Linked DNA regions of Drosophila melanogaster. The protein of the gene in region 2 interacts with the protein of the main gene of each other region in a pairwise test. Each region holds a gene or a part of one and is shown on either strand. Other genes may lie near its edges.

Region 1 (6,631 bases), on a different chromosome or scaffold from region 2:
GCAATTTATCAACAACTTGTACATAAGAACATTTCATCGAACTATGAACCTGATTCTCTCACTTGTAATTTGTCTAAAAAGCTTAGGATCTGAAACGTATGATTTAGATTTAGATTACTTTCTATACACATCAGCAGTTATGGTTAGTTCATACTATACAATGAGTATTCAAATGGTAACAATGAATTCTGAACTCCTGGAACTGAAATCAAGTTTATGTAATCCGTATAATTTGTACACTTTTCCATAACACTAAGCATTCAAGTCTGTTGTCCTCTAAATGTTGTATTTGTGCGTGAGATTGATTCAGGAGAATAGAATGATACGAATATGTTTTAACTATTCGTCACCTCATTATAAGCATAAGCAAACCAGATTTGATTTGATTTCGATTTAGGGAACTTGAGCTATTTCCATTTTACCAGTTTTACCATCAAAAGTTAAGTACATTAAGTTGATTCCAAAATTAGAAATAGAAACAATTCATAAACAGCTCAATTGGCATCAATTTAATGGGCATTTGATATTCAGTTTCAGGATCAGCTTTTCATAAGTATTATATTACAATCTTCTTAAAGACTTTTAACTGAAGAAAATAGACCACTTTCATATGTTATCTGGAAAACTATTTTAGACCTTTCTCTTAGCACAAATACTCAAACAGCATTTCAATCATTTAGCATTTACCTTTTTTATTTTCTCTTTTAAAGCTTAAAGTAATAATACAATTTATAAAAAAAAAAGGGCAAAGGAAATTTAAACCACTTTGATTACATATGTCTTCCAGTTGTTTAACAATTACGATATACCACATAATTGTGTCTATGTTATTTAACCACGATTGTTGTAGCTAATGTTACAAAAACTAAAAGTTTGCAAACAATATTAAAATAAAATGTAATTATTCAATTACATTTAAATGAACGTGCCTTAAAATTCGAAATGATCGAAATTTTAAATGTTTGAACGTTAACTATTGAAGTACACCTGTTGCTAAAATAACAAATATTTGAAAAATAATAATATAGCTCAAAGATATCTATTTTTTATAAAATCAAAGTTCTAACTTAGCTTCTTCTCTAAACTGCGAAATCTAAATATCTAAAGCCTAAGTTCAATAGACGTATTATTACTAAATGCATTATATAATTTATATATCTAGATATTCATAAAATGCACTAGTCGATTTAAGAAGTGGAAATTGTGCTCCCTATGCGAATCATTTAGGATTTTAATCTGAAACTATTTGCATTCCATACGAATGCCCCACTGAAACGATCGATATCATTTGTCTTGCACTCGCATTTAATTATTTAACAAACATTCTGCTGTTTCCATTCGCACAATAGTTCTAATTTGGACATTTTGCGCGTTTGAGCGCATTAGCAAATCATGCTTAGTATATATGTATGTGTATATGTACCCAAAATGTATTTCATTTGTACGTTCCGTTTTTAAGTGATTTGTATCTGTACGTCTAATAGATATTTTCAACTGTTTTTGTAATTGCCTTATAATTCAGTAAACACACACCATACGTATACATTCATAATTATTTAATGCCAAATAAATGTTTATCCGGCGTTAGCTGTCTATATATATACAAAGTTGTTTCTATATGTTGGATTTCTGAGAATTGAGGAAGCCACCGAATGAAGTAGTTATGTTATATACCCTTAAACTCACGTACAGTTTCAACCCATTAGAAGCATTTGGAGTTTTCGTTTCCAACTTCCGGCTCACAATGAAATAAGCGACTATCCCTTTCTATTTCATGGTATCTTCGTATTTTCGTAGTCAAAATTTTACTTTTATTCTGATATTTATTGGACAAATGGTGAATGTGAGATATATGATTTACTTGTATCTAAAACTCGCGTCTGTGGTATTTGTCGGGATCGAAATATGATGTGACCACAACGCGGTCGCTGAATTTACGTCCAGTAAGTGCTTGCTGCGCCTTCTGACAGTCGAGAACCGAGTTGAATTCGACAAAGACCTTGCCGCAACCGGGAACTTCGACGCCCTCGATGGGACGTGGAATTTCCACGCTCCGCACGACTCCGTATTTCGTGCACTCCTCCTTGATGTCCTCCAAGATGTCCTCGTACTCCTCCTCGTCCCGCAGTTCATCGGGCGTGACCATGTTGAGCAAGCAAAGAACCTCAGTCGGCGGTCCAGAGGTCACCACATTGGACAGGCCCGGCACTTGGAGCATTACGGACTGCGTGGTGTTGGCCGCGTTCTGGGCATTCTTGGCGCCCACACTGGCTCGTTGGACAATCAGTTTTTTGTCACCCAGCTGCATTCCATTTAGGCCAGCAATCGACTACAAATTTTATTAGGAATCGAAAGAGAGTTAGAGTTAAGATTGTGTTTGTTTGCAATTTTGAAGTAGTTTCGTACCTGATCTGTGATGCTAAGATCGACATATTCACAGAAAGCATAACCCTTACTCAACCCAGTAGCGGCATCCTTAACCAGGTTGAAGGCTCGTAGCTTGCCAAACGACAAAAGCAGTTCCTTAACCTACAGCAGCAGAAGATACAAATGTTTATGAGAATTCGAATGGAAACGTTTCAATGTTGAACCAACCTGATCGTCATTCAGATAGTTTGGTAGACCTCCGATGAAGATTTTGTGAGGCGAGTCCGGAACCACTGTCGAAATAACTCCACTGGAAACTGGAATGTGGAATGGTGGTTATTTGATTAGACCGTGTGCCAATGAAAATTAGGATATTTGTTTACTTACCAACAGCGGGCTTAATTGCCGGCGTATCTGTTATACCCGGCATGGGCTGGTAATCGTGCGGACGCCTAATCTTTAAGCTCTGCCCCTTCAAATTGATGCCATCGAATGCCATGGCCTGGGTGGTTTCATCAATCGATCGGAATTCGAGGAAAGCAAAGTTTTTGTCCAAGTTAATTTGGCATGCCAAGACGGGACTGCCGGCCGCCTGGGCGAGCCCAACTAAATGCATCTGTTGGTTGAAGAACTCCATCATTTCCTCCTCGGTGACGCCAAACGGAATGTTGCCAACGTACAGGCGACGCGCCTGTCGGGTAATTGTCGATCCGACCACGGGCACTGCCGTTTGTGGTGTATCCGGCACAACGCTTGCCGGGATTTGTCCGGACGCCTGCATGGCTTTGTATTGCATCGGGGTGATGTGCTCGAATCCCGGCGGCGGTACATCCCAATAAAGCGACGGCTTGCGCCTCGAGTTCCGGTGATGGCGTCGATCCCTGGAGCGTTCGCGATGGCGGTCCCGAGAGCGGGAACGATGTCGGCGTCTCTCGCGATCGCGTTCACGGTCTGCAAATACGATAGGAATTAAATATGTTGATTCTCCAATCGCTATTTTCGCAAATGTGTCCCGTCCCTGTCCACCTCACCCAGGAAGAGCACACAAATTTAGCCATACACACGGGCACACGCGCATATGTAAGCCATGAACAAGGACACATTTCGGTGTATGGTGTATGGTTAGAAGCATTTATGGTCATAAGAACTCGCCTTTATTGTCGATATTCACATATTTATCTTCAAAATTCATTTCCATCCCGAAATGCACTGTATTCTATTAAAAATAGACTCAAAACTCAACGTATGTACGTATGTATGAATGTATGAATGAGCGAAACATCGAAATAGAAAAAAAAACAACCGGTCTAGAATGAATGCGATTATTAACAAAACCCTAATTCAACAGACCTTTTTTACATATAAAAAAAAATGAAACAAGGAGCAGGCTGCGTTGCCGCGATAAACAAATTCAGTTGCACATTTTTCACTTTCTTTGCATACATTTATAGTTGTATGTATGTATGCATACATATATATACATAAACATCTATTTATGCACACTTGGGCATCAAATTCAGTGCGGCCCTTTACTTGCTCTCTTCATTGAACTCACCATCATATCCCATTCTTGTTGCTAAATAAAATTAATATTTCTTAACACGAAAACAATTTTAACTCTTTAAAATGCCGAAGAAAAATGTGTCCCTCTATTGCGTATATTAACGCAAATATAAAAGAAACGACTTAAAAAAGAACACGTGAAAACTGAGAAACAATGGAATGGACCACCGATAGCCGAGGGCTAACAGTGCGACACTGGCAGTTTCGAAGTGTCGTTGAACGATTTATCGACATAAATTTCACTTGTAGGGTGTCCATTACTGCAAAATATTTATATAAATTATTATACATAATCATACATAATAATATAATAATAATAATATACATACATACATAAAAATACACGCTTAAGCGACATCTGACATATACGATTCTGCAACTATTCTGTACTCCCTAGTTTGTTAATCAACAAACGGTGACGTCACACTCAATTGTATACCACCTTCTCAAGCATGCTGTATTTGTTTTGTTTTGATTGAGAGAAGAAATACCGGTGTTTTTGTCAGTTAATCGATTATATTATGAGCATTAAGATATATTTACCGGTCAACTATTATTACCTCAATAAGTCAACCAATTTGTACGGCCAAGTGCAAATAAATGAAGATAATGTCGTATCGTATTACGTGCTGGAAGCATCAGATTTGGAGTTCAGTGACAAGGCCATAAATCATGAAAAGGGCAATCTGCGTTTCCTGGGCTCTATTCTCAACGAGGATTTCAATGCGGACCAGAACCAATTTCTTAAGTTCAATATGCGATTGTGTTTCACATACAATAGCAGTCAGGCGAATATAACACTGGTTTATTTGGGCATTACGCCCGAATATCTGAAGCACATTAAAGTGATTCTCTACGACAAGCAAATGGTACGAAATCTGTTCGTATCTGGTGAATCTGAAAATAGGCGATCTTTGGAATACAATGATAATGATAGCACCGATTGCGACTTTCTGGAGCTCTCTAGACTGAATCAACCAACTGCTGACAACCAAAACAAGGCAAACAATAATGCCAACAAGAGTATCCAATATGGCTTAACACTCATTGCCGATTCTCCAATTAAGATATTCGAATATATGGCGGAAAATGTATTTATCAACAGCATTATGGTTCACACAACTATTTATAAGCATTTCAAGGAATGGCAGACAGCATGTGATAAAAGGTAGTTGGGTTAAATCGATGATGCTAAATATCATATTACTATTACTTAGTTTCTATCAAGCAGATCTCGACCGGCTAATATAGTTCTTGATAGAATACTGGGGATTATATTGATGCTAATACTATTTACGCTTGCCACACAGCCTGGTGATTTTCTAATACAAATATCTCATGTATGTCCGCCATACAAATTTGATTTTACATATGTGACATTAACTTATTGCTTATCTATTGTAGTACGTTATTGACGAATTGTACGGCCTGTTGAAAGTATTAGAGGGCAGTCCCATTGGCCTCAAGCTAAATATACATTTAAATAATTTCTTTCTCGACTGCTTCAAATATCATATTGAGCTGTGGTCAACATTTTTGGGTAAGCTTTTGGGTCTACTTAAATGCATGATAAGATTGATAACATTGTTCTCTTACTACAGATTTCATTGAACCTTTAGTACGACAAGTTTTCTTGGCCATTGGAATGATTGGATGCTTGGGTTTTACATTCCAGATAGCCTTACTAGTGGACTTAATATCCGTTATTGGCTTACATTCACATTGCTTCTATATTTATACCAAAGTGTAAGTTTCTGCAATATATATTGACCGCTTTCAAACAATAATATTATTTTCATAGCCTCTACAATGTGGAAAGAAGAGGTCTTTCTGTTCTATGGCAAGTGGTTCGAGGCAATCGTTACAACATTTTAAAAGGTATGTTTTAAGGTTTTTGCCAATCTAAGCACTATGTTAAGTTTTACCAATTCTTATACTTTTCAGGTCGCACTGAGTCCCACAACTATATGAATCGGCAATTATATCTAGCTACCATATTTTTCTCGGCTATTCTGTTTTTGTTACCCACTACCCTTGTCTACTATATAGTTTTTGCTGCTGTAAGTTTAATATATAATCGTTGAATTTCGCAATAATACAACTTTCTTTATAGCTGAAGGCGCTCACATTTGCTACTCTAAGTGTCTTTCATTTTTTGCGAAGAAAACTGATGTATCTCCCGATTGAAGTCTGTATAAAACGGTTATTAAGAGGATGTCATGAAATAGGTAATTGTGTAAAGAATGTGGATGCACAAAATGATATTTATATAATGATTTTTCTATTGACTCGCAGATTGTATTCAAATCAAAGATGTTTCACATCACGAAAGGGCTTTCCTGATGCACAAACAACAGAAAATCAACGTGACAGTGTATAAAATTACAACTTTATAATCCTTGCCATATATGTAGAATATATTTAGAAGTAAACATAACATGTTTTAAAAGTACATTTACATTTTATTTATTGAAACTTCATTTGTTCATTTGATGTTTTTTATTACTATCAATACAAAACAAATCGAATCTAATTATCGATAACAATTTTCAATCAGTGTACAAGGTCCATAATATTATAAAACTTATACCAATTATTTTTAACCCCTTCCAAATGTTTAATTTTTCTGTCTACTCGTTTTTTAAACTTTTAAAAAGCAAGCTATATTCGACATCTGTGTTTTTTTATCTACCGATATTAC
Region 2 (7,675 bases):
TCATTTATAGCTGCTGCAAGATGTGGATCCCATGGAGATTCTGTCCTATCTGGATCCTCAGCCCGATCTTAACACGCCGCCCTCGAGTGGCAGCAGCAACAACAACGCCAGCGACGACTTGCTGGCCACGTTATTCGACTAGGCCAAAAAAAGGCAGGGGCGAAGCTGGGAGAGAGTTGGAGAATTGAAGTGGCAGAATACCATAAATTGTATATAGTATTATTAATTTTAATGAAATGTGCACTAGACGCCAGTCGCGTACTTCAACCAACATTTTCGTTTCCTCACACAAACCAACAGCAGCAACAAGTAAAAATACACAAAAAAAAAAAACAAAAACAAAAAACAAAATGGATAAACTATTACAAACAACACACTGGATGAGAAATCGAAGCGGAAATTTGAATTTGCCCGTGTTGAAAAACAATGAAATGTGATTTAAAAATTAATTAATTAAATTAATTGGCATTTAATTTAAAGCTAACTGAGAAAAACCCATGAAAACTACAAAAAAAATGCACACTAAAGCGTAAAAATTAACAAACAGTCATTATACCATATAAAAAATTAAAAAAAAAAGAAACCAATTCAGTTGAGAGCATGAAAATTCCTTCAATGAAATTTACGAATTTAAAATGCAGCAGAAAGTCCTTTGTTCGTTTATTTGAAAATTACATTTTTTGTTTTGCCTTATCCCAGACTTTTGTTGCAAAATGTTTCTTGTTCATTTACAAAGTATTAAAAAAAAAAAAAACAATCTATTAAATCAGCGCAACAACAAAACATGAGCAAAGAAAAACAAAACAAAAACGAAAATCGAGAAACACAAAATACATACAAGTGAAATCCCAACAATTTTATTACATTTATAAAATGAAAACATTTACATTTTAATTGTTGCATAATTTTAATTATTTTTTAAAGCCTATCTACATATTAAAAGTAAATGATTTAGCTTGGTAAACGATAAACGAAATTTAACAGACCAGCTGAGGAAATATTAAGATAATATTAACTATAACGAACAGAAAGTAAATGTGTACAATTAAGTGACAAAGCGAAACTGCATAATTAGTGGAAGAGAGAAACAAACTATTAAAAGTGTAAATCAAATTTAATGCTAGATCTAAAATATATTGTATATATTGGATATGTATGTTATATATGCGGCAACAACAAAAAACAGAACCCCTCCCCCCAAAAAAAAACACACAAAAGCTAATTAATACATTTAAATAATGATAATAATAAATGAAGAAAACAAAAAGTATTTCAAAACTAAAATTAAAGTGTTATAATTTTCGTTTGCGTCTTATTTTCCCACACAATTTTCCCCCGTTTTCTTTTTGGATTTTCTCCTGATTTTCCGATTTGTTTCGTACGATGTGGTTAACATGGACCAATTTTTATATACAAATATATATATATATACATATATATATGTATAACACCCACACACCGACGAGTCTTTGAATAGAGTATATACGCGAACTATATATAACGGAATATATATATATATTCATGTACGTATCTGATATGATATTCAAATATAGCGAAATTTTTAAGCTTTGCCCCGGCTTATTCCCCGTTCAGCGCTTAACAAAACGAAACAAATCGAAAAAAAAATCGAATAAATCGAAAAAGTCGAAAATTTACGCGAAATCGCCTCGATGTGGTAGTTAAATGAATCTCAAATCTCTTCTCAATGTTATCAAAAACACACGTAATTTAATTATAATATAAACACGTATATCCAAAAGCGAAAAAGAAACAAAATTCGTAGTGGTTTCATTGTAAAACAATATTTCATAATGATTAAACGAACAATTTAGCTTCAAGATTTCGATATTCCAGTTCGATTTCTTCTCTCGCTTAATGAAATGGAAAAATTAAAATTAAAATGACACGATTAACGATTAACAATATCGATAGGCAGTTGGGATGCGCAAATGTGATTTTATTCAAAATAAAATACACATAACCATGATTACAATTAATGAATATTTTTATTTGGATCTGTGGGATCGTTCGCTGGAACTGGCTGCGAAGGAAGAGAGTTGTACATACGAGTATTTAACTAACGTAATCTTTATGAATGAACATGGTATATATCTGATTATATATAATATGTTTAAATTTAGTTCATAAGTTGTAATTTTAAACGATGGAACAAAAGCAAATACACATTAAATAATATGAAGAGAAATAAACCAAATAGCAGCATCAGTTTATTGGGCTCGTCGTTCAATTCCAGCGACTCTTCTTGGCTCTTTTGGCATCCTGGTTGCTGCTGTTGTTGGCCGATGAGGCGGAAGCACCCTGTGTTGATGATGAGGGCGGTGCCATTGGCGCAGCGAAAACTCCCGACTCCGGCAGAGTTTTCTCCCAAGTGCGATCGCTGGACGCACGGAACTGATTGTTATACTGGGATCGGAATGCCTCCCTCATTGCTGTATAGCGATCTGTGGCTGGTCCCGAGCTCGAAAAGGCTTTGCTAGAGGGTCCGTCGGAAGGACTGTGGGCAGACACACTCGCAGTGGACTCCGAGCCACCAGCCGAACCATAGCCACCACCTCCATTTCCTTTCTCCCGATAGCCCAATCCTGTGTGGGTATTTGTTGGTCTCTTGCCTTTGCCCTGCTTGAAGCGTGAGCTGCGGAACCAGGAACTCTTCATGGCCAGCTCCATCAGATCGTCGGGCACCAGCTGATCGGCTCCCTCCAAGTTACGCACCAGATGTCCGGCGAACTCCTTGTCCTTATCGGTGACTAGAGTGTATGCATTACCCTTTTCACCGGCTCTGCCCGTTCTTCCAATTCTGTGCGTGTGGGTTTCAATGTCCCTGGCTGTGTCGTAGTTTACCACATTCCTAATATGGGGTATATCCAATCCTCTGGCTGCCACGTCGGTGGCCACTAGAATATCGCACTCTTTTCTCTTAAACTGAGTGATGACCTTGTTTCTGTCCGCTTGGTCCATATCGCCGTGGAGTAAAAGACAATTGTACTCCTTAATTAAAAGATTGTTAGACACCGTTTCAGCATCTACTTTTTTAGTCACAAAGATCAGGACACTTCCTTCGGAAAGGAACTTCACCAGATGGCACAGCAGCCAATTCCATTTCTGCAGGGGATTGGGGAAGACGTACACAGACTGTGTAATGTCCTGATTGGCCTCGTTCAGGTCTCCCTGCACTATTCTCACGGGATCGGAAAGCACATCTCTGGCCAGACGTTCAATTCGCTTCTTAAAGGTGGCCGAAAACATTAGGCATTGACGATCTGGACGCACGTGGTTGCAGATGGAGCGAACCTGGGGCTCAAAGCCCATGTGGAACATACGGTCGGCCTCGTCAAGCACTAGGAAAGTGACCCTCCTCAGATTGGTGGCCTTCATCTTGACCATATCTATCATACGTCCTGGCGTGGCCACAATAATTTCCGCTCCCTGTTCCAGAGCTTTACTTTGCTCCCATTTGGAGCCTCCGCCGTAGCAGCAGACCACGTTCAGGTTGTAGACCTTGCCAAACTTCTTGGCCTCGTTGTAGATCTGCAGGGAAAGCTCGCGTGTAGGTGCTAGGATAAGTCCTATGGGTCCGTCGCCTGGCTTCAGCTGTTTCTGATCCATCACATGCATTAGCATCGGCCAGATGAAAGCTGCTGTCTTACCGGAACCAGTTTTGGCTATGCCAATGATGTCTCTGCCGGACAGGGCGGTGGGCACTGCTTGTGCCTGGATGGGTGTGGGCTGTGTATACTCCGCTTTCCTCACGGCCTTGATGAGTTGCTCATCAAAGCCGAAATGGCCGAAGGACGTGACTGGTTTGGGTGGTGATGGACCAGTGACCTTTACGCCAAGTGTGCGCCTTAATTCCCGGACTTGCTCATCATCCAGGGCGGCTATGTCGTCATGCTGCGTGTAGAAGTTCTTCTCGAAGGGTTCGTACTCGATTTCGGAATGGTAGATGGGCGGCAGAGGATCAATGTCCTTTTTCTTCGGTGGGGCTATGGGATTGCCATCCTCATCGTATTCGATTTCCTGATCGGATCCCTCGTCGCGAAGTCCAGCATTGGGATTCTCCTTCATGTAGCGATAGTAGCTCTCCTCATCGTCCTCGTCATCGATGTCACCTCTCACCGCCTGAGTTGGCGGCTTAGGTGCTTGTTGACGCTTCTCCTTCTCCACCTGCTGGTTGATGCCCGCCATGAACTGCTCGAGGGGATCCTCATCCGAATCGGAATCCTCTTGCTTTTTGGCCGACGTTGGCGGAGCTCCCGGGGATCCTGGTGCCGGTATATAGGCTTGTTCTATCTCCTTTTCCCGGGGCTCATCGTCATCATCGAAATAGTCATCGTCCGTGTGGTGCTTCCTTTTGCCAACCAGATTGGTGGCATTGGTGTACTGGCTGATGGAGTCCAAGGTGGAGTAGCCGTGCTTGGACGTTGATGTAGTGCTCCCGGTGACACCGCCACGGCTTGCTCCTCCAAATCCTCCGCGGGAACCAGAATAGCCACGGGCATTCAGCATCGGGGGCGGCGGTACGGCGTTCATGTTGTTGCCGGAACTTGCTGGCTTGCGGTAGGGGAAGCCCCCACCGCCAATGCCTCGATATCCACTCATTGTGCTACAAATCCAAGCAAATGCTGCAAGCTAACAATTTCCAAAATCAATAGAAAACAGTATGACCAGAATGAGCAGCAGCGGGACAGCGGGCAAATGCTTTGGGGTCACACTTTAGCTGATAGGAGTTTTACCCTCCTCAATTATGGTCACACTGGTCGAAAGTGAAAACAATTGTTGCTTGTATTTACAAATATTCAGCTAATTAAACCAACGCCTGAAATATGCAATCGAATATTGAGAATGTATCACGGGACTATGCAAAGATACTGCAGAGCGCCGACCTGGAGAAGGAGATAAATCCACTGTGCACGAATATCGAGGATATGCTGGCCAGATTGGATGAATTTGAGACTTTGTTGGCTTCGGTTAGTTGTTTTCTTTAAAGTTAGTGTTTTCACTAATAGTTTATTGACTTTTAGGTGCGTGCGGAATCCAATGGCATGATGGCCAACAACGTCTGCTCTATACTAGGTTTCACAGACAGTTTCGAGCAACTGAAGGCCAGAATCGATGGTCTGGAGCAATGTGTGGGTGTAGTTAGTGCCAATTTGTCGGAAGTGGAAAGATCTGTGGATATAGCCGAGGAGGAGCTGCATGTCACAGACTACAGCCTCAAGGGACTTCTCCTGAAGCCGCTGAAGGCCAAGTTAAGTGCCAGCGATACCAGCACACTCAGCTCCCTGCCACGATCCAATCTCGTCGAGGAGGAATATCAGCCTGTGGAGATCTACAAATCCGACGATTACTTCGGAAAGTCGGAGGAGGAGAACTACGTAGCTAAATGACTAAACATATATGGAATAATTAGATGAAACCTAGTTTTACTAAGCTTAAAATAGAGATGTTACTAGAAGTTAGAGGATCTTTGCAGATGTAAAAACATAAAGGTAATTTTATTAACTTTCTAAAAGCAACTTCATTTGCATTTTGTTTTTAAATTAGGCATTTCTAATGCATTTTGAATATGCAATAACTATCAAATTAAGACAAAGACATCTAAATTCAGCTTCGTAATTACATTTAAGCACCTACTTGTTATAATTGTCATTATAATTATAGCGAAAAATTACAGATAGAATGGAAAAAACCGAGGCAAACAATACGTTGTTTATTGTTACATTAAGTCTGGCTGTTTATATTTATATTACTGATTACTTACATTAGAGTAGTGAATAAAATAGCAGTTAGCTACGTGGATGCCATAAATATTTAGTGAATAATTAGCGAAGAGGTGCTTACGTAAATATTCAATGTTTTTTTTTACGGGAAGCGCGAAGTTAAATTGCTCGAATTTATACGGGGAAATCCGTGGAGTCTCGCATTTAAATTGCTGCCTATAACGTGGAAAAATTCTAAAAAAAACTGCAATACAGCTTTACTATAATAACAATTCTCTGTGTACGCCTTTGTCTAGAACACAAATTAAATTTGTTACCAGGAAGCTACTTTAACGCATAAAATTTAGTGCGCTTGAAGGCGTTTAAAATCGGTACAAGGTTCTTAAATTTATTATTACCAACGTGTGTAGAAGTATTATTAACAAATATGAAGTACATTTAAAGCTTCATATATTTCCCTTGAAGTAATATTAAATTATATTACAATTGAATTAATTCTTGGAAGTTTTACCCATAATTAATGCCTGAAATGCAGTAGATACCACTTTTTACTTTGCCTATTATATTAACTGCCTTTTTACAGACAGCCATCCACATAAATATTTATTAAATAATTAACGCCCAGTCTTTTTATATAAGCATGTAAATATTTGTGTTTATTTTAGTTCGTTTCGCTGACTACAAATCTCGTGATGGTCCCATTAGCGACTCTTAACATAGGAAGCCTAGGCCTTAGCTTTCTCCTTGCTTTCCTCGGAACTGGAAGTGGACTTATCCGCGTGCTTGTTCTTCTCGAAGAGCTCGGCCACGGGAATGGGATGGGGGATGTGGAGATTGTGGATGGACGGAGTGGTGCTTTCCAGCTCCGATTTGGTGGTGGATGGGAGATCGGTGGTGGTGGTGGCTTTGGTTTGCGTGGGCACGGGAATATCGCGCTGGTGACGCTGTTCCGGCGCCTTTCCACCGGCCAGAGATTCGATGGCCTTGTGGAGCTCCTGGGATCGCTGGGGATTGTGCTGGAGCGACTCACGGGCCTTCACGCTGTCGGGTTTCTCCACAGTCTCGCGCTTTTCCTGCTTCTTGGGCAGCTCGGCGGTGTGGGCCACAGCGGGCAGGGCATGGGGCAGCGAAAGATCCTCCACCTGAGGACGATCACCTGCCTCATCCTTGTGGCCCTCCTCGTGGTGAGCTTCCCTCTTTTCCTTCTTGTCCTCATGTGTTTCGGGAGCCTGCTTCACTTCCTCCTTATGTGGAGCTGCATCATCACCATGGTGGCCTTCCTCGTGGTGAGCCTCTCGCTTTTCCCTTTTGGCATCATGAGCTTCGGGGGCCTGCTTCACTTCCTCCTTATGAGGAGCCTCATGGTCTTGGTGACCCTCCTCATGGTGAGCCTCTCTCTTTTCCTTCTTGGCGTCATGGTCCTCGGGAGCTTGCTTCACTTCCTCCTTCTGGGGCACTGCATCGTCACCATGGTGACCCTCCTCGTGGTGAGCTTCCCTCTTGCGCTTGTGGTCCTGTGGCCCAGCCGGAGAAGGCTTCTGGTCATGAATAGGAACGGCCGGCTGCGAGTGATGCAGCTGTTCGTGGGCCTCCACGCTGTCGGGCTTCTTGGGTTCATTACGCCTCTGGCGATTCAGGACGGGAGCATCCTTCAGCAAGACTACCTTGGCGGTGGGCTTGGGATCAACGAGCACATCGGGGCTGATGGGACTGGGCCTAGAGAGCTCCTCAGAGGTAGACTCCTTGACATCCAGAGGTGCTGCGTGGCAGAAAGCCACCAGGGCTAAGAGAATAATCTAAGAAAATGTGCAACACAAATAGATTAAAACGTATTTTATATTCAAAAGATAAAATTTATAGCCCTCATTAATTAACCGATTACAATAGCTTGTATGGAAAACTCAGGGATAATCTTCAAGAGAACTGAGATCTTG
Region 3 (7,325 bases), on a different chromosome or scaffold from region 2:
ATTTTCGAAGCAGCCGAATATACAATACTCTCAGCTTGAAAAACTTATATTTTAATTCAAATATTTTGTACGAAGTCTGAAAACTTTCCAATTTACTTACTCCGCTTGCAAGCCTTATAAAATTGTCGTAAAAAGCGTTTGAACAAACCCCTTTCTTTGTTTTGATACGCTTGGATGGCAAACAATTTTGTTCACACGCTTTGCTAGCTATTCATGAATGAACCCTCTTCTACTTTAAATATTTATTGGCTTCTGCAAAGTTAAACTATTTTGTTTAAATATTTGCCTTAATGGAGCTTTGTCTTCAATTACCCAAAGTCCATGGCTGACATTGAATTTGAGCCATTTACATTTTGGCTATTTATGTTTGTCCAAGTTAAACGCATCTTCGGATTGTGGCCAAAAATATCCGTGACTTGACAGTCCGATGAGTCCCATGAGCAGTAACCAACTTAGTATGACAACAAGTTTTTCCTCATTCAAAACATTGCCTTTTCCCTAGTCACTGCTGTTGTTGCAAAATGCACGCTCTACGCACACCAAAAAAAAAAACAAAAATAAATTGCATAGAGAAGTACATATAAATTACCAGCAATTCAAAAGAAAAAGTTGAGATCTGACTAGCAGACAGCAGAAAATAGCTTCCTTTGCTGCATTTCAGCGATGGAAACCGATATGCCCTGCTGTAGGGGATTGAACCCAGCTCAAATTGATTGAACTTTGTTGTAAAAGCTGGTGACAGTCTTGCAACATCTGTTTTATATTATGATTCAAGCATATGTGGCAAGACATTCGTTGGCCAAAGTAACAAACTTAAGCTTAAATTATGCAAAAGTCATTCCACATGCACTATTACCAGTCTGTCGCACCTTTTTCGTATGCTAAATAGGTTTGCTTACATATGTATGTATGCGAAATTCAATATTATAATAAACGATTGCTTGTTCATTATTATCCATAACAGGACATCTCCGGCCAGGTGGTGCTCATCACAGGAGGAGGCGGTGGTGTTGGACGTTTGATTGCCCTAAACTTTGCTCGCCTTCAGGCCCGCATTGTCATCTGGGATATAAATCAAGAAGGTAAAATCACACCTAGTTGCTAATGACGCCGTCACAGCTTCTGCCAGGCGGGTCAAAAAACCCGACGGCTAGTGAAAGCTGTTACATTTACAATTTGATTAGCTAAACAATATTTGATCATAATTTTCCGCACAGCCATAAAGACAACTGTGGATTTGTTGGCCAAACATGGTTATGACAACTGCAAGGGCTACGTTGTGGACATCTCAGATCGGGAGCAGATCTACCAGCGTGCCAGCCAGGTGACCGAGGAGGTTGGTCCCGTCGACATATTGATTAACAATGCCGGTATCGTGTGCTGCAAACCCTTCTGGGAGCTGCACGATCGGGTCATCCAGAACACGTACAACATTAACATCATATCGCACTACTGGACCGTGAAAGCGTTTCTGCCTCACATGATGCGCAATAATCGTGGTCATATCGTTACTGTGGGCTCGGTAACTGGAATGCTGGGCACCTACGGATGCAGTGACTACGCGGCCACCAAATACGCCTGCATCGGTTTCCACGAGAGTTTGCTCACCGATCTGAAGGCCCATGGCTATGATCAAATCCAAATGAGTTTGATCTGCCCGTACTACATCAACACGGGCATGTTTTCGGGTGTTCGGCCGCGGATGATGCCCATGCTGGAGCCGCAGTATGTGGCGGATCGCATCGAGAACGCCGTGCGCTGCAACGAGGTGTGGTGCGTGCTGCCCAACTCTATTCGCCTGCTCACTCCTCTCAAATGGTAAGTAGTCTATTTAACATAGTTATATACAATGTAATTAATGCTGGTTTTCTCAGTCTTTTGCCCGCCAAAATGTGCTGGGAGCTGATGTCGCGTGTCATCCGTGGACCCGAGTCTATGATGATGTTTCAGGGACGAGGGCGCGTCGCCGCTGGTTAAACACACAATAGGAATCATCATATGGAATCCATTACCTAAGCTTAAGTTCTTTTTCAAGAGGCGGCATCGTTTCACCTATAATTTTACAATAAACTTAGTTATTTGATTTAATGAACTATTTTAATAGACTTACACCTATCATTAAGGCTTTAGTTCCTGCTAATCCCGCACTGTGGTCTGTTGGTAATAATGCGGCGCCAGCTCCGTCAGCCACTCTCTCTTGATTACGGTCACGTAGTTCATGAACAATTTCGTCGTTTGGAGCAGTTCCCCATAGACCACGTACTGAGCTTGAGGAAGTGTGTAGAGAGTGGAGTTCGGATGAATGGCCAGTTCAGTGCCGCTGCTGATTTGTCTATAAACTCCAGAGTGATGCAGATAGGCCACCTGTGTGAAGAAGCCGGCGGTGATGCACTTGCACAACTTTTCCACATCGCCCTTGCACGAGAAGATTGGAATGCCGTACTTCTTTCTGGCCACTGTGATGAGTTGCTCCCTCAGCGAGTGGGCCCTCTTAAGATTCCTGTAGATGAGGAAGTATTGGCCACAGAACTCCTTGGTCATGCCCTCCTCCACGAAGCCAGTGTAAGCGTTCAACATCGTAATAAAGTCCCCTTCCGCAACTTCGAATTTTCGATGTGCAATGCGTCCACTTTGTTGGGCAACCGCTGAAGCTGGGCGCGAAAATATAGACTGCACCTGCAGCAACGCAATGATGGTTATGATCTCCTCGGAGCAGCCCATCTGACCGGAAACATAGAGCATTTTGGAGAGCATAGCGCTGAAGGGGAGTTCGGCCAACAGGTAACCCACGGGCTTCGTCAGATTGCCCTGCTCATCGATGGCGTCCAAGGCAAATAGACTCTCCAGTGCGGAAAGTAGATTCTGTGCCGGTGGTGGCGATGGGAAATCAAAGCGCAATATGTTCCCGATGCCCAGCGCCTTTAACTGCAAGATAGCGCCGCTCAATTCGCTGCGTCGCATTTCGGGTGGCTGCCGAGGAGCTAGTGCTTCATAGTCTGATTTAGTGTACAAACGATAGACCTTGCCGGGACGCATACGACCCGCTCGTCCTGCTCTCTGGATGGCCGACGCCTTGCTGACGGGCACTATAACCAAACTGTCACTGCAGGTTTTGGGATTGTACCATTTTACCTTGACGTAGCCGCAGTCTATCACATAAACAATGCCCGGAATGGTGATGGAGGTCTCTGCTATATTCGTGGCCAGCACCACTTTGCGGGTTCCTTTGGGCGGGGTAAAGAATACCGACAACTGATCAGTGCTCGACATACTACCATACATGGGCAGCACCTTGAGATTCTCCTGTTCCGAACTGGCGATGTATTCGCGCAGAAGATCCAGCGCCTCCAGGACTTCCTCCTGGCCAGTTAGGAAGGCCAAAATGTCGCCAGGCGGCTCCTTTTGATGCAGTTTCCAGACGGTCTCCACAGTTTCCTTCACATAATCGGCGCAGGGTTCGTTCAGATAGAAATTACTCACAGGATGCATGCGACCTTCAATGCTTAGCTTAACGCTCACTTCGCCCGATCCTGGCCAGCTGAAGAACTCGCTGAAGAAGCTTGCATCTATGGTGGCCGATGAAATGATGAGCTTGAGCGAGCTGCGTTTGCGAAGGATCTTCTTGAGCAGTCCCAAAATCATGTCGGTGAGCATATTCCGCTCGTGCGCCTCGTCCACGATGATAACACCATATTGGGTGAGCAGCGGATCGGCTAGGACTTCCCTCAGCAAGATGCCCTCGGTCATGAACTTGATTTTGGTACAGGAGCTCATGCTTTCCAGGAAGCGAACTACATAGCCCACCGTGTCACCTACCAGTTCGCCGCGTTCCTGTGCCACGCGATTAGCCAGCGTAACCTGGAAATGAAGTCTTTAGTTTTAGATTTTATAGTTGCTTTGCTTTAGGATTACTTACGGTGGAAACGCGTCGTGGTTCGGTGATGCCAATGAGTCCCTTGGTGTGCCAGCCCCATTCATACAAATACTGTGGCACCTGGGTGCTCTTGCCACTGGGAAATATGAAAAACCACAGAGTTAGAAGCATTACTTTGAAGCTCATGGAATTCCATACAAACCTGCCTGTTTCACCCACTAGTATGACCACTTGATGCTTTTCCAAGCAGTAAAGTATTTGATCCCGGTACTGACGAATGGGCAAACGTTCCCTCTGTAATAATTTAAGTTTAATTTGTTATTCTAGCAAATGTTTACGAAATATTTTGTAAGCCCACCTGCTCCATGAGTCCCATATTGTGATTGACATTGAATACAAAGGCGGAGGACTGCTGTTCACCACCGGCACTATCTGTGATTGCATCGTCCGTCTCGGGTTTTAGGAACTTTGGCTTAAAAGTGCTCATTTTCAATTATTTACTTCGTTATAGATTCAGTTTTGAAATTAAATAAACAGCTGATGGACTCAATGCATTGGTGCAAAATACCAAAGCGCGCAAAAGAATGTTAGGAATTTCGTTTAATATAAACTAATGGTCACACTTTTATTTGGCGGGAAATTGCATTGTATTGAAATTTCGATTAACGATAACCATCAACTATATAATAAGTTGAATTGCCCAAAAACCTAAGTATTTACTTAATCACTAAGTATACAGTCGCCTAGTTGAGGTCTATAAGAAAAGAGGATAATCAAATTTCACTATATTTTAGTTAAGATTTAAAAATGCAAAATATTAGTTTTTAGAAATTGTTTGGCTAGTACCTCAAGCTTATACCTTTGGTACCCACAAATTATAATATATTTGATTTAGTCGACCATTTCACGAGCCCCAATGGTGGCAAATGTCCATAACATTCACCTGTATTATTCATGCACATGTTTTTGTCCATTTTGCGGGCACGTTGCAGCACCGACATGTCCCCTATTGCTAGTGAAAATAACTCTAATTGCCAGTGGCAAGGCCACTTTGCTCCTCTGCATACCCAGCAAACTCATTATGTACTATAAGGTCGCCCTGGCCACGTGTGTGTGTCAAAAGTGTCCCCCGAGTTTTGTGCAGCTGTCGGCGACAGAAGCGCCCGGCCAATTGCTTTTGAATAAATATTGTATTGTATCTCTCGAGCAACAAAACACACACATTGTTTTGCCCGCTTGTATTTTTTTTTTTGTATATATTTTGATTTATGCACCGTCAGTGGGTATTATATGCATGCCGCCAATATTGGGACGAGTAAGATGGCCGTCGATTCCACACATGCAGGACCCCCGTATTCTGCATTGACCCTGACATTAAGAACGCTCGCTTTAACTTTAACCCCATCCGATGCGATCCGAACCCAACCACCAATTTCAAGCCAAAGCAAAACACGTGCCCGACATGCACGTTTGACCAACCACATCCGCATGCCAGTGCTGAAACAATGGAGCCCAGCTCCACTCCACTCCACTCGACCCGAGCCCAGCCCCCATGGCGTATGAGTAATCCGAGAAAAGCTAATTAAAGGCCAGCGGCGAACTTCATGCCAAGGACGAGGCGCCAAGTCGCCAAAGCCAAGCGAAAGCCAAAAACTCTGCGAGCAGTTTGTCAACACCGCCGTCCGCGGAAAGTGCTTCAACTAAAAGGCACTGAGAAAAAATGTTTTCACTTTCCACTCAAGCTGATATCAGCATCACAGGTAAAGAGGTATCTTCGCTACATGAGAAAGATTATAGTTTCGAAAAGTGTTAAGAACGATGCTTCAGTATTTAGTACTACATCTTAAATTGCAAATACTAAAATATAATAATTTCCGCTGTGCATATGGATTAGTCATTTCATTTGCCTTCTATCCCACTTAATAGTAGTTAAGTGAATATTTAGTTACATTGCGGGTTATGGGAGGCTGTCACATTTTCGCACAGTGTGTATCTTGTCCGTTTGGCGTCCAGTTCCAGTTTCGGTTGCATATAAATTTTAATAGATGCGCCCAAGGCCAGAGTTTTACTGTCAAACGGCTGTCGGCACTCCACTGCCGGTATCCAAATTCCGATTCCCCCGTCTTTGGGCACCTGACTAAATGCCACAAAACTTAAAGGGCGGCATGAATGCTAACTGTTATTCCGGCTTTTACGAGCAAAGTTTCCTTGGAAATGCCAGTGGAGGGTACGTTCCTTTTGTTCTATCTACGTATTATAACTATAGTTTCGCGTTGACGACCCTGATTACAAACGCCGGAGTTGTGCGTCCTCGACACCCAGCGAGTGGTGCGAAAAGGGGCTGGCGTCATTGTCTTTGCGTGCCGCGAATTTGCGTGATTCATGATGCATGTGGCAGGGCGGCAAAGTCGCAACTCAAATGCAGCACACACAAAGTGCACACGAAAAAAAATGGTGACGCTTAATTGGAAATTAATATGGAAAAGTAAGGTTATCTTCTGCTTACCTTTGCATCCCAATTTTTCATCGTAGTTAGGATATCCCATATCAGCTTTCAATTTCGCACAGTGCATTTTGGAGTCCTAGCACTCCGGGCGTTGTTTTTTGGCGCGTCTTCATCCGCTTTAATTACTGGAACTACTGAAACCGAAACTAGTCCCTGCACCACTTAATGTCAATAAAAATGTCAATTGCACACGCGACCTTGGGCCGCCCGTATGGCTTTCCGGTCAAGTTGGCCGGATTTCGGATGGCATATCACTCCAAACGGCGGCGATTAAAATGGATTTTTTCGGCAACAAGGATTTTGAGGTCCTCACAGCTGAGCGGCGTAAACAAAAACAACAGGCCGCCTGTGTCCTGAGAGCTGGAGGGAGAGAGACAGAGAGAGAGTGAAAGGTGGAAAGAGAGCGACCGGCTTTGGTGACACGTGCTCCAAAAACTGGCGGCGCTACGTGGCGTATACGTATTGCGCTGACGCCGTGGCCATTTTCCACTGTTTTTTACAGTTTTTTTTTCCCACTTCTGCCTTTGTTGCCGCTAATGTGTTTTGAAAACGCATATCCCAATCCGGCACGGTGTACAGTTACCGCTGGGCAATGGCAACGTGCAAAACAAAAGCCGAACTCCTCATCCGTCTCACCGAGGAGTTGGAGTGAGAGAGTGGCAGGAAGAGAGCCTTTTCGATGGGGATGGCAACACCAGCACGGGAGAGCACCAACACAACTGCAGCGCGACAGTGGGAGGTAAACAGTGAAAGAGGACGAGCGCGCACAAAGAGCACACGCACAGTGAGAAAGTGCAGGGATAAAAGTCGTTGAAAATTACATTTCATCACGTAGTTATATATCAAATATATCAATAATTACCATTGCATAGAATGTGTAACTATTAAATTCAAACAGAGAAGGGCTAAGCCATTATTTACTATTAGAAGAAAATAGTGCCTACT

The links.
Region 1: the proteins of CG6418 (region 2) and U2af50 interact in a two-hybrid assay, tested with the Drosophila melanogaster proteins (one large-scale study listed by BioGRID).
Region 3: the proteins of CG6418 (region 2) and CG3225 interact in a two-hybrid assay, tested with the Drosophila melanogaster proteins (one large-scale study listed by BioGRID).

What each region holds. Positions count from the first base shown.
Region 1 is NC_004354.4:16,354,889-16,361,519, forward strand, and holds U2af50 (U2 small nuclear riboprotein auxiliary factor 50), read right to left. Parts: upstream 3,566-6,631; coding exon 3,520-3,565; intron 3,319-3,519; coding exon 2,755-3,318; intron 2,685-2,754; coding exon 2,596-2,684; intron 2,530-2,595; coding exon 2,407-2,529; intron 2,330-2,406; coding exon 1,868-2,329; 3' UTR 1,808-1,867; downstream 1-1,807. Other genes in the region: PIG-Q (phosphatidylinositol glycan anchor biosynthesis class Q), read left to right, coding at 4,452-5,098, 5,162-5,270, 5,335-5,470, 5,532-5,676, 5,732-5,808, 5,875-5,990, 6,044-6,158, 6,226-6,326. UniProt on the Drosophila melanogaster protein: Necessary for the splicing of pre-mRNA. Binds to the polypyrimidine tract of introns early during spliceosome assembly.
Region 2 is NT_037436.4:10,874,326-10,882,000, forward strand, and holds CG6418 (uncharacterized protein), read right to left. Parts: upstream 4,713-7,675; 5' UTR 4,621-4,712; coding exon 2,245-4,620; 3' UTR 1,990-2,244; downstream 1-1,989. Other genes in the region: tna (tonalli), read left to right, coding at 11-142; Blos4 (biogenesis of lysosome-related organelles complex 1, subunit 4), read left to right, coding at 4,845-4,988, 5,043-5,408; CG6409 (uncharacterized protein), read right to left, coding at 6,467-7,537.
Region 3 is NT_033779.5:4,813,806-4,821,130, forward strand, and holds CG3225 (uncharacterized protein), read right to left. Parts: upstream 4,441-7,325; 5' UTR 4,362-4,440; coding exon 4,233-4,361; intron 4,169-4,232; coding exon 4,077-4,168; exon of another isoform or gene 4,011-4,076; coding exon 3,917-4,010; intron 3,859-3,916; coding exon 2,137-3,858; 3' UTR 2,111-2,136; intron 2,087-2,110; exon of another isoform or gene 2,053-2,086; 3' UTR 1,978-2,052; coding exon of another isoform or gene 1,875-1,977; 3' UTR 1,819-1,874; downstream 1-1,818. Other genes in the region: CG15629 (uncharacterized protein), read left to right, coding at 965-1,082, 1,218-1,818, 1,875-1,977.